Oryzias latipes: one gene and its partners. The main gene of each other region encodes a partner of the protein of the gene in region 3 in a complex. Links are inferred from orthologs where the notes say so. Each region holds a gene or a part of one and is shown on either strand. Other genes may lie near its edges.

Region 1 (4,351 bases), on a different chromosome or scaffold from region 3:
AGATTATGGTCTCATGTTGAACGTTAATTAATTTCATTTTGTTGGAAGTAAACCATTCTTGCTCGGTCCAGTTCTCATACAAATAATCACCAAAATCCTTCGACAGTTTACCTTGATGGGGATGACAGCTGTTTGCACCATGTTCCTGAAGCGACCGACCGAGGGGTCAATATCCTCTGAAAAGGAGAAAAAGCCTTTTAGAGATGTTTTCACACATCTACATTCATGAGAATCCTAATAACTGGAGAATAACATGGAATAGACACACTTTGACACAACTGCAAAAGTAATATCAATGTATTTTACAAATATTTTTCAGCCTTTTCATAAACTAAAATTTGGGTGTATATCTTTAGAAAGCAACATTGACAGAATTATTTGACTGTGCTTTAATAAAAAGGGAAATTAACTACACACCCCCCCCAAAAAAAACAAAAAACTATTTACCAGTACATAAACTTATATATATATATATAAAGAACTAGTCCACAGGAAATCTACCAAAAAAATATTCATCCTGTCTCAAGAGGTGAAAACAGCTATGATTAAAAACAAGAAGTTCATAAATGAAGTTTTTTATTTTTTACACTGGTAAGTACCTGGGTTAATGATGGAGTCCTCTTCACTGAAGGTGACTCTGGAGTTTCTGCGTTTCCTTTTAGGTCTTTGGATTTCCAGGTTGCCTTCTTCAATGGTCAATAGCGAGATGCGCTTGTTGTGAGCTGTGTTGAACTCTGTCAGATTCTGACAGGATTCAGAAACCACAAACATTTGTAAGGCGGCTACAACATTTCAACCAACCGGTAGACGGGATTAAAGGATTCATAAGTGGGAAAAAACATAGTAGTATTCTGAAACTAAACCTTGCCACTACTTACTTTTACTTTTACTTTGACCATGCACACATGGTCAAAGTAAAATATGCAGGTCTATTTGTATAAAAGCAAACAAGCAAATCTTAAACTTTAGTAGTTTGACAAATTTAGCCAGAGTTCAAGAATCAACAGGCAAAAAGACTGGAATAAACAGAGATGAAAACAAGATTGATCAGAAAACATAACGTACATCTAACTCTGTTTCTTCTTCTGGAAGACCTAGAAGTCCTTTGAGCTCCTCGTCATCTCCCGTCTTATTGTCTCCTGTGCTAGTGCTGCCTTGGGTTTGGGGTTTCTCTCTGATGATATACGTTCGCGTGGAAGCCCCAAAAGCTAAAGTGGAGTCTATAGGAACCTGCTGAGGCTTGTGGGCCTCGAGGCGGATGTGTCCAAGGAAAGTACCATGTGCTGAAAGGGTAACAATCAAATAAGGTTTCCCAAAAGAATAAAATAAAGAGGTAACGCAACACTGTCATAACAATGAAACAATACTACAACAAAACAAGATGCAATTTTTACCACCACCGTACACTCCAACTCTTTTAGCAATTGGGAAAGATATTTGCTTTAAAGTCAGAAAGTTGATCAAATCTAAATTTTTCAGTGATACGATCCGTGATTTCATCACAACACATGAAATACAAACAAACAAAATGTGTATGGATGTTGAAGCTGTGGTGATCCTTTTAACTCTATTCATATGATTTAATATTCGTAAATGTATCAAACGTGATGGCAGAATGTATTCAATTCCTAAATGATTAAAATGCTTCAGTATTGCATTCTGCTTTGTGTACCGTTTCTTTCTTCCAACAATATAAATCAAATACAAAGGTAGGACTAAAAGCGATCCCTTACTGCTGTTGAGGTCTATAAGGAAGAGTCTTTTTAGGTGTTTGTGGTAGACTAAGGCAGCATGAACACGGGAACATGACTGATGGTCGATGGTGAAGTCACACCAGTCGGGGTTCCTCCCAAAAAGGTAAAACTTCTTCTCATCAATAATCAATTTCTATAGAAAAGAGAGAATGTTTTTTCTGTCAGTCACACATAAAGTATGGCTTCAACAGTACAGGTGTACCTCTGAGTCATAACTCATCAGTGTCGCTTCCACTGATCAGCTTAAACCTCACGGCTGATTTTGCTGTAGCACCGTTGGAAGCCATGCAGCCACAGACCTGTCCTGATGTTCAAACATCAGGGACAGAGCAGACTGTCAGGCTCGTGTATGGGTGCATGTATGGACTTACACGATACATGATTTAACAACAGTAAGGCACAAAAGCAGAATAAGCAGTCATATTACTGCATAACAGGACCAACATCTGCACATTTTCATTCAATTATTACCTCTATCAGTTTGTCTCCCTTCATTACGTCAAGATGAAGCCCCGTGGGGGGTTTGCCTGCCCTGTAAACAGACGATCAACTACTGTCAATATTTAGGGAAAACAAACAAACATGGATCATGCACAAATTAATGTTACAATAAATGAATTCAAATGTCTTTTACATGTTTCTCTCCGCGCTAGCTATTTCAAGAATAAATATTTTAAAGATAAATATTTTCCACATTTATAATAATAATTATTTTTAATTGATCTGGACGTGAATTCTACTCATACAAAGAACACGGCTTTCCCCGTTCGAATAAATAATTTCTAGCCCTTCTGGTTAATTGACGCCAACAACGCTAAGGGTTACCATGCTAACCTAGCTAATGTTAGCAACTGCAACTACAGACTTCTACTTAGCATTAAAAGGCACAAATGAACAGGTCAAATAGCTTTGCAAATGCACATCCAGCAACGCGTTACAAATTTCTAGTTTGTTCTGCAATAAGTAAGTTTTCTCACCATGATGGACAATCAAAAGGCGGAGGACCGTCTTTGCCTGTTTTAGTCGCCATCTTGCTTTAGCATATTGCAACCAAAATGCATGCTGGGTAAACAAAACATTGGGATGTCGGGAGTTGTCGTTCAGAGATAATAATGATAGTAAGAGTAATAATATTAATAATAATTTTACCATATTGCAATATTCGTCAGATTTGTACAGGATACAGGGAATTATTCTTTTTTAGTAAAACTTTTGAAATAGTTTTTTTTTTTTTTTGGCAAATGATCTTCACTTAAAACTTAATTGCACTGTAAGATTTATTAACAAAAAAAGTTCAATTTTGATTTACTTGTGTTAAATCCATTCATAGAAAATGTAATATTTTAATTAAAAATATACAGATTAATTTTAATAATAATGTCATTAATTTTAATTTCACAACAGTCCTGTAATGGGACTCAGAAAAAGTTATAAAAAATATTTGATGACAAAAATGACTTTTTTTGTTAGCTTTTCTCTTTTCTCTTCATGGTTTACACAGCAGAACCCTCGACCACATGCCTCCCCATCTATCCCATAGGAAAGATGTTCTTCTTACTACAGTACTGACCAAAAGTTTGGACACACCTTCTCATTCAAATGAATGGGAAGGTTTGTCCAAACGTTTGGTCTGTACTGTATGTTTAATGTTTCTTTTCAAGATGATGAGTGGTTTGGGAGTAACTTTTAAATACTTAACTAATGAAAAACATTATCATATTATATTTTGAAAAACAAACAAACAAAAACAGTTATAATTCAAGTAATTTTTTATTTGATTTGCATGTTTCTTTGTAAAGCTGCCTAATAAACATGAAGAATTCAATTACAAAAGACCACTAGAGGTCTCTAAACTCTTAATTTGAAAATGGAAACATTTTCTTGGAAATAAATGATTGGTCAACATGTGTGGGATTCTGTGTTGGGGGGCTTGAAGTTGTGTCTGTATCTATTTCTGCTTGTGAGTGGGTGAACTCCTTCTGGTTTTTGCTTTTTTGGTCAGGCCTGAGGTGGGTGGAAGGGGGGGGGGGGTTACCTCAAATTAACTGACTCTCTTGGATCCATTTAGAGTTCTATGTTTTAAATAAAAAAATATGTTCAGCGTTGACCTCTGTTAGTCAGCTGGAGATGGTAAAAGTTTTGTTTACAGATGGCATAAAGTGTAAAGCTGAAGCAGAAGTGAACTTTCAGAAAGGATGATAGACATTTTCAGAAAAGCGCTGTGAGCTGGATCCATAAAGAGGGGGTGCAGACACAACTTTTAACTGCATTTGATTCAGACATGTAAGGCTTCAACCAAAAATGAAATGTTTTCCGTCTATAATTTGCAAAAGGGGTAAAGATCACATGTTTAGTTAATGTGTCACACATCCAAATCCAGTTTTCCTTACCCAAGTACATTTGCATACAGTAAAATAAAATAAAACGAGTTCTAAGGTTTAGGCATTGCAGTAGAGTTAGTCCTTCTAGAACATTTTTAATTCAGAAAGAATGCATTTTATGTTTTGTTCCATTGATAGAGGAGAAATTGTTCTTCTCAGATTCTGTCTCTCACACATTCATGTGCATATATGACATCTGTAAAAACTCTTATTCAC
Region 2 (4,054 bases), about 7.0 Mb from region 3:
CCTTTTTATTTGTTTGTCATAACAAATTAAAAGTCCAGAATTGACAAAGACAACACAAAATATGTTGCCATTATTTCATCTCTTCTTCTACTTGGTGTTTGGATTTTATTATTGGTTTATTAATAAAGAACTCTGACGCTTAGGGGGTCTTTCTGATCTTTGAACTCAGACACTTTCACCTGGGTTCTCTAATTGGATGTAAAAAAAAAGCAGAAATACAGACTTCTTCCTACACAAAAAAAAAAAATAGATTCAGACAAACTGTTCCAAAGAAGAGCAAAAAATGAAAAACATTAACAGTATGAGGTTCTATAAATGCTCTAACATGTTAATAGAGGGAAAGCTGATCAGCAAACCTTTGCAACTATAAACAATCTGTATTTTTCTATTTAATTTAGCTTTTTGCTGAGAAAACATGATTTGTACTGAACAGCCTGGTTAAACGTATAGAAATGTAAAAATAGTCACATACAGAACTACCAACTGAGAAGAATGTATGTCTTTAATCGACAATTACCTTCCCAAATGTCTGGAAAACAGCAATGAGGACTTCTTCTGAGGGCCGATCTGGGAACTGACTGTCTTTCTGACTGAACCAGCGACAGGGAAGGCCTTCCAGGTGGATGGTGTCCGGCCTCTCTCCAGGCAGGGTCTCATTCATGTCCTTAGCATCACGGAAAAAGGAGTCCCAGTCATGGCGGGTGGGGAATTCCACCTTATTTTCTACTGCCCGAACCTGAGGGACGAAGACAGACCAACGAATGCATCACATACAGTCCATCCATTTTGTGGTAGAGATATAGTTGAAGTATTAGTCTAATGGAACAAATTATAATGTATAAAAGTCTTTAAAGTCCCACTCCAATCATTTTTTGATCTATTGTAAAGTGGCCGGGATAGGCTCCGGCAGCCCCGTGACCCTGAAAGGGAATAAACGATAGAAGATGAATGAAAAAAATGAATCAATGTAATCGTTGCGTATTCTTCTAGGACAGAGTTGCTACAGAGCGGCTGGAGTTCATTAAAAATTTGCCTTCGAGTTGTGGGCGGAACTGTTGGCACAGAGTAAGCCTGTCCCCTTCCCATCATCCATCTGTTTACGTTCTTTCCCGCTAGCTTTCAGTCCCCTCACAACCCCGACATGACATTACTGGTGCACCAAGAATTGCGCCCAATATCGGAGCTATCCAGCTGTACAGTTCTGAGCTAGATGTCAGCTCAGATGAGGAAAACAAAGACGTACATGGATCTATTTGTCTGCAAGTGGATGCATCAGAGTGGAGCGGAGCAAGGGGGGTTTGTGGCTTGCCATCGTAGTTTCTAAATCCCACCTACAAGTAATTTTTTGTCTGCTCCTGATTCACATGATTTCACTAAAGAAATACTCAGAAATACTAATTTAAGCTTGATATTTTTCGTAGATGTCTCCACCATCAGAAAAATGCTACAAATTCATAATTAAAAACACCCAAAACACGGTTTTCATCAGAGTGCGTCTTTAGTTTAAACGCAATAATTAAGCAATTGGTGATTCAAACTGTCAGCCTTACCTTGAGCACATCGGTGAATCCACTAAGTTTAATGGTCTTTCCATCAAGACGGCTTAGCAGGCCTTTGACCACAGTCTTGTTCTCCACCTCGCCCTCAAAGCGGATGAAGTCCATGGTGCTCTTGGAGATTCTGAGGGCGGAGAACTGCTCAGGAGCGACCATCGCCTTCACCCTCTCCATCACTTCCCAGTTGGAGATGCTCTTGCCTGGCAGCTTGAGCTGGGGTAGGGCCACGCTGACGGTCATTTTAGCTATCGGCTTGAGGTACAAATTGTACTCGGCGGACAAGCAGACTGCCTCTGTGGTGTCGTGGACGATGGTGGTCATTGTCATTCAGAGACGAGTGAGGATGCCCCAAGGACCAGAAAAATCAGAGATTTTCCAGCTAAGCTAGTTCACACATCTACGCAGACCCTGTAGCCAAAACAAGAACAAAAATATCACAAAGAAATAAAGAGAATTCCACAAAACTGACAGATTTAGACAGGACTTGTGTATGCCAGTCCCCAATGCTACACATTTCTTTTTTTTAATCACTATTATTGTTGTTATATTCACTTTTTTTGACTAGTGATTTTATTCTATATGACTGTCTGTTATATATGGTTGTGGTGTTTATATGTAGACCTCAAGTCTGTAAATAAACAAATTAATTGATGCTATTCAGCTTAACCTCTAGCTGTTACAATTCTATTCAATGTTTTTTCTTAATACTCGAATCAAATCAGTAGCATATTTATACACGAATAATACTATACAGGGGGAACATATTTAATTTACTAGCAAATAATTACTTACAAGTACTTTAAATAAATGAATACCAAACCAAAACATCAGCTAAGTTACCGCTAACTTGAGCTACCCATCATGCTACGCAACGAACAGAAATACATTTAGGATCGTAAATCAATAATAATGAGGGGAAACGTGATAAACAGCGTCACAAACACACCAAGTCATTCTTTTCGCACAAAGTCATCAGTCATAATCACTTACTCTATGGTTTGCGTGGCGGGGAACCGTGTAGTTAGCTTAGATAGCTCCAGCACCACAGATGCCTTTTTTCTCCAGTGTAGCAGCTGTCTGCTATTACATAAGAGTTGGCTAACGTTAGTTATTTTTAACAACAACTCGCCAAACATTTAAGTCTGGGTGTATAAAGAGTTCCTGAGCCTGAGAGCCAGGCGCTGCAGAGTCAAACTATATATATCATACAACTATTTCATTGAAAAAAGCCGTGGTACGCCGATTCCGCATCCAGTGAACTTTGACCTGACAAGGAAACTACGAGAAACTGCTATTAGTGGCGGTGGGAAGAAACAGCGACACACTGTGGTAAAAGCTATACTATATATTAAAAAAAATAATATCCTCCTGAGACCCGGCCCATTCACTTATGTCCTCTATAATGGTCATTTTGTTTATCTGTATATTTCTAAGGAATTAAGAGATGCCTTTCCGAATCCTACTTTAATCTGTAGAGGACATCCTGGGCTTTCCATTGATGTGTCATGTGATGAGTTTGCATGCTGGGAACTTTAAGTTTTACCTCTACAAAGATGGCTTCCATGCCATTTACCTAATTTTATGGAAAGGTGAAAGGCAAGTCAAAAATTATGTATCTATTCCTTTTTTTACCATGATAATTATATATATTCTTGGTCATAAACATGTTAGGAACAATATTTTTAGATCTGAAAAAAGTTTCATGTTTTCGGTTTTAAAACAGCAGGCATTTAATGAATGTCCACTGTAGAGGACACCGGGACCATTTTAATGTATTTAATTGCTGCACATAATGTTTGGAGAAAAAAGTGAAGCAGAGAGGATTTTATACCAGATAGTTGAGAGAGATTCAGATTTGGAGCTTTGAGATGATAAAAAGGATGAGATTCAGGAAGAAATAACTGTTTTTTTTAAATAACTTGATTTTTTTGTGTTTTTTAAACGTCCATCATAAGAGGTTTACACCTGTACTACCAGGGCGCCCTGCCTATCAAGATGACGCCAAAGTTTGTGAATACCGGAGTTCAATCTCGTACTTTTCCCAGTACATTGATAACATTTTTGAGGATCTGTTTTTGATCTAGTTTTGTTCAAACTACCAGGGAATCACACACCCCCGGCTCTCTAGGAAAGTCAATAGGCCACAGTACTGGAGAAGACAGTCGGTCCGATAGTGGAACCTCAGATCCAGGAACAACAGTTAGGTTTCCGTCCTGGTCGTGGAACAGTATAACAGCTCTACACCCTCTCTAGGGTGCTGGAGGGAATGCGGGAGTTCGCTCATTCAGTCCAGATGTGTTTTGTGGATTTGGAGAAGGCGTTCGACCACGTCCGTCCCCCGTATCCTGTGGAGGGAACTATGGGAGTATGGGGTCCGGGGAGCCTTACTGAGGGCTGTCTGGTCTCTGCATGACCGGAGCAAGAGCTTGGTTCGCATAGCCGGCAGTAAGTCAAACCTGTTCCCGGTGCACGTTGGAGTCCAGCAGGTCTGCCCTTTA
Region 3 (3,563 bases):
TGCTTTTGCTTTAACTTAAACTGCACTAAGTCCATGCAGAGGACTGGTTAAAGTGGAGGGACGTTCTAAACCTTGCTGCTGGAAACAGAGAAATCCTTGAAACCAAAGAGTTTTCTTTCAACCAAAAGTTGCTTAGGATATTTTATAAAGGGCATCTTTGGAAAGGCTCTGAACACAGCCCAAAATGTTGAAATCCCTCAAGGAAATGAAAGCACAGCATCTCTGTGCTCCTAGTTTACAACCAGGGAATTTTAGTTAGAATAGAGTGTGAATCCTGCAGTTATGAGCTTCTCCTGTTTTTTTTATTTTTCACAAATTTTATGGTAATTTCTTAACCTAAATGAATTTTCAACCTTCAATTGCCAGAACCCGCTGAATCCCTTTCAGGGTCACTGGGCTGCTTAAGGTCCAGCTACTGTTGGGTGAGGGTGGGGTACATCCTGAAAGGGTCACCAGTCTGTTGCAGGGCTACACACTCACATGCACACCTAGGGGCAATTCAGATGTATCAATTGACATATGAAGAAAGTTCTTGAACTGTGGGAGGAAGCCAGAATGTTTTGAGACAGGACCTTCTCCCTATGAGGCGAGAGTGCTAACCGCTGCACCATTGTGCAGTCCAATTTTTAAGGCAATCTGAGTAATTTTTAAATGTAAAAAAGTAAATAAAAATTTTTGTCTTCAAAATCTTTTTCTATAGTTAGTGCAATTTTTTCTTTACAAGGTTAAAAAATGAATTTGTTATCCAAACAAAATTTTTGAGTTTTTCCTGACAGATGCGTTATTAAAGGATTCGTGAGTTTTCCATTTAAACTTGAATGAGGAACTAACAACTAAAGTTTAATATTTTAATATACAGTGATGAAGAAATGATTCCATAATGGACTTACTTATCAGGACAAGAACCCAAAACCTGTTCACCTTTAAAACTGTAAAGATGGAAGACATTCTATAAGAAATGCCATTTAAGAAACTCTCTGGTCTGTATCGACAATAAACAAAACAAAGATATTTAAAACAGTCGTCTCACTCTGGATGTTTTTCCCTCAGATCTACTCTGCAGAATTATCTGAAGAGACATGAAGGAAAGGACGTGGGAAACTCCTCCTCCAATCCATTTGACAAAGGTGAGATAAGGTTTAGACAAATAAATGTGTTCCTGTGTCTTAGTGTAGGTAGCCTTACAATAAAGAAATGTGATTTTTTTTAAATTTTTTTTATTTCCTAGTAATTGCATTTTTAAAGTTGAAAACTTTTCAACTTTAAAAACCAAGTCCAGATGACAATTATTATACCTACTACTGCGATGAAAACAACCTGGATGAATGAGAGTCTTCACAGACATAATTCCTTGTAATTGTATTTCTTGTTGCATTTTTCTAACACCGTTTGTGCCGTCTTCCAGTGGCACAAGAGTTCGGCCTGTCTCAGTCTGATTCTGCCGCATCAAGCTCTCAGCAGCATCAACAGTCCTCCAGCAGCATCCACATCCTGTCCTTGCTGCTGCGCCTTCGTCAGTGCTGCTGTCACCTCTCTCTTCTGAAGAAGGTCGGCACTCTTTTTTTGCATCCTCTCACAGGAGATTACAGCCCTGGAGGACAAACCAGTTTCCTTTTCTCTGTTCAGACGCTGGACTCCTCTGAGCTGCAGGGGGACGGCATCGTTTTGTCCCTGGAGGAGCAGCTTAATGCTCTGTCGCTGTCCTCCAGCCCCTCACCATCAGATGCTGACCCCAAAGACACAGTGCTGCTCAATGGCAGTCGCTTCCCCTCACGGCTGTTTGAGGACACCAACAAAAGCACCAAGGTGCCAACCAACTAGAAATAGAAGGGTTCTGCTCATGATTCTGATAGCGAGAGCTTTTCCTAAACTAACTGCATTTTGTTTAACAAAGTGTCTTTTGCTTTGCTTTTTCCCAAATGTTATAGATTTCAGCTATCACCTCTGAGCTCATGGCAATCAAAGAGAAGAGTGACGACCAAAAAAGGTGAAGCTACTAATGCATCTTTTACTTATCTCTTCAAATAATCTTATTTCTTCAGTCTGTCATATTTTTACCTGTTACCTTTACCTGTCTTCTGTCAAACAGAAGAGGCACACAAAACCTTCTCTCTGAGTTTGCTTCTTGCTAAAGCCTTAAGGCCCGTACACACCGGGACGAATATTCGCCAGGCGTTTTTCGCCAGCGTTTTTCGCCACGTTTTTTGTGTTCACACCCAGGCGATTTTCGCTGACGATGAGCCGAGCGAACATGCAATTTCATTCCCTGACATTAGATGGCGCTTAATGTAAACAGAAATACTCCTGTACACAAGGTGGCGCTGCGCAACTTTAGGCTTCTTAAAGTCGCTTTTCACTCAGAAGAAGAGAGCAAGTATTTACGCGCTTGTCAGAATCATACAAAGAAAACATGAATATTTCAAGCACCAGTAGCTCCAACTGGTGCTTGGTTCGGGGATATTTTAGAATGTCCGTCATTATTTCTTCGCGGCAGTGTAGACGCTACTCGGCGTCTATCTTCTTCGCTGGTATGTGTGCTCAGCAAGGCAGTTTGTGTTTGAGCGCCCCCAAGTGGTGTTTTACTGTAACTTCAGAAGCTCCAGACACGTGTGCAAAAGCGCCATTCTCATTGGTCGAATAGATTTCGACGCGACGCGTCGAAAAAAAAAAACGAACCCGAGGCGTTTTTTTTTTTTTGACGGTTTGGCGCTTGGCGTTTTTTCGCCTCGGTGTGCACACTCACATTGGTGCCCTTTGTTTAGTCACGAGGCGTTAAACGTCGGCGAAAATCGCCGGCGAAATTCGTCCCGGTGTGAACAGGCCTTTAGTCACAAATTCCCTTACGGGTGTATACAGACTTTCTGCAGGTGAAAAGTCTGTACAGGGCCCACAGGTGGTCCGCACGAAATATCAAAGTTTTAGACCACTCTGTGAACCTGTAGAGCAAAAATATGTGTGCAAACTTTTTCTACTGGCATTAGGCCTGCACAATATACCGCAAATTTATCGTTATCGCGACATCAAGCTGTGCAATATGCATACCGCAAAAGACGGCGAAAATCGCAATAAATGGTTACCTTAAATGTGCTAAAACAATCTCATGGCAGCTTGAAATATTGAACAAATGAAATAAATCTCTTTATGCATTTAACCAATCGGAAGGACTCGTTTACGTTGTTGATGTTTGATGTTTGGCTCCTACGTCGACAAGGGTCATTTGGAGTATAATTTTTAAACTGTTGCAGTCAACACGGAAATTATGTTTTTGGTTGTTTTGCTATTTGTTTATATACCGCGAATTATATCGTTATCGCAATATTAATCACCAATATCGCATATCGCGAGTTTTCCTCATATCGTGCAGCCCTAACTGGCATGCTGCGAGCATCGGGTCATAGTGAACATTTAAACAATGTGTAACCCTTGTGCAATCCAAGGCATTTTAACATTGGGAGTGGGGTCATCTGAATGTGATCTTCATTGGTATCAATGCATTACATAAAATCCTATTTCACCTTTATCCACCTTTGTCATGGTAGGGATAACACATCAAGGTCATTTTG

Evidence for each region.
Region 1: ttf2 (region 3) and ppp1r8 share a complex: the UniProt entries of both Homo sapiens proteins name them as parts of the spliceosome. The link is inferred for Oryzias latipes from reciprocal best matches to the Homo sapiens genes TTF2 and PPP1R8.
Region 2: ttf2 (region 3) and akap17a share a complex: the UniProt entries of both Homo sapiens proteins name them as parts of the spliceosome. The link is inferred for Oryzias latipes from reciprocal best matches to the Homo sapiens genes TTF2 and AKAP17A.

Annotation. Positions count from the first base shown.
Region 1 is NC_019874.2:22,802,617-22,806,967, forward strand, and holds the start of ppp1r8 (nuclear inhibitor of protein phosphatase 1), read right to left. Parts: upstream 2,832-4,351; 5' UTR 2,785-2,831; coding exon 2,732-2,784; intron 2,287-2,731; coding exon 2,226-2,286; intron 2,114-2,225; exon of another isoform or gene 1,975-2,113; coding exon of another isoform or gene 1,957-1,974; exon of another isoform or gene 1,949-1,956; intron 1,888-1,948; coding exon 1,734-1,887; intron 1,284-1,733; coding exon 1,066-1,283; intron 745-1,065; coding exon 600-744; intron 177-599; coding exon 112-176; intron 1-111. UniProt on the Homo sapiens protein: Inhibitor subunit of the major nuclear protein phosphatase-1 (PP-1). It has RNA-binding activity but does not cleave RNA and may target PP-1 to RNA-associated substrates. May also be involved in pre-mRNA splicing.
Region 2 is NC_019879.2:18,186,234-18,190,287, reverse strand, and holds the start of akap17a (A-kinase anchor protein 17A), read right to left. Parts: upstream 2,832-4,054; 5' UTR 2,547-2,831; intron 1,965-2,546; 5' UTR 1,884-1,964; coding exon 1,551-1,883; intron 737-1,550; coding exon 518-736; intron 1-517. UniProt on the Homo sapiens protein: Splice factor regulating alternative splice site selection for certain mRNA precursors. Mediates regulation of pre-mRNA splicing in a PKA-dependent manner.
Region 3 is NC_019879.2:11,156,183-11,159,745, forward strand, and holds part of ttf2 (transcription termination factor 2), read left to right. Parts: intron 1-1,050; coding exon 1,051-1,127; intron 1,128-1,405; coding exon 1,406-1,548; intron 1,549-1,626; coding exon 1,627-1,806; intron 1,807-1,928; coding exon 1,929-1,987; intron 1,988-3,563. UniProt on the Homo sapiens protein: DsDNA-dependent ATPase which acts as a transcription termination factor by coupling ATP hydrolysis with removal of RNA polymerase II from the DNA template. May contribute to mitotic transcription repression. May also be involved in pre-mRNA splicing.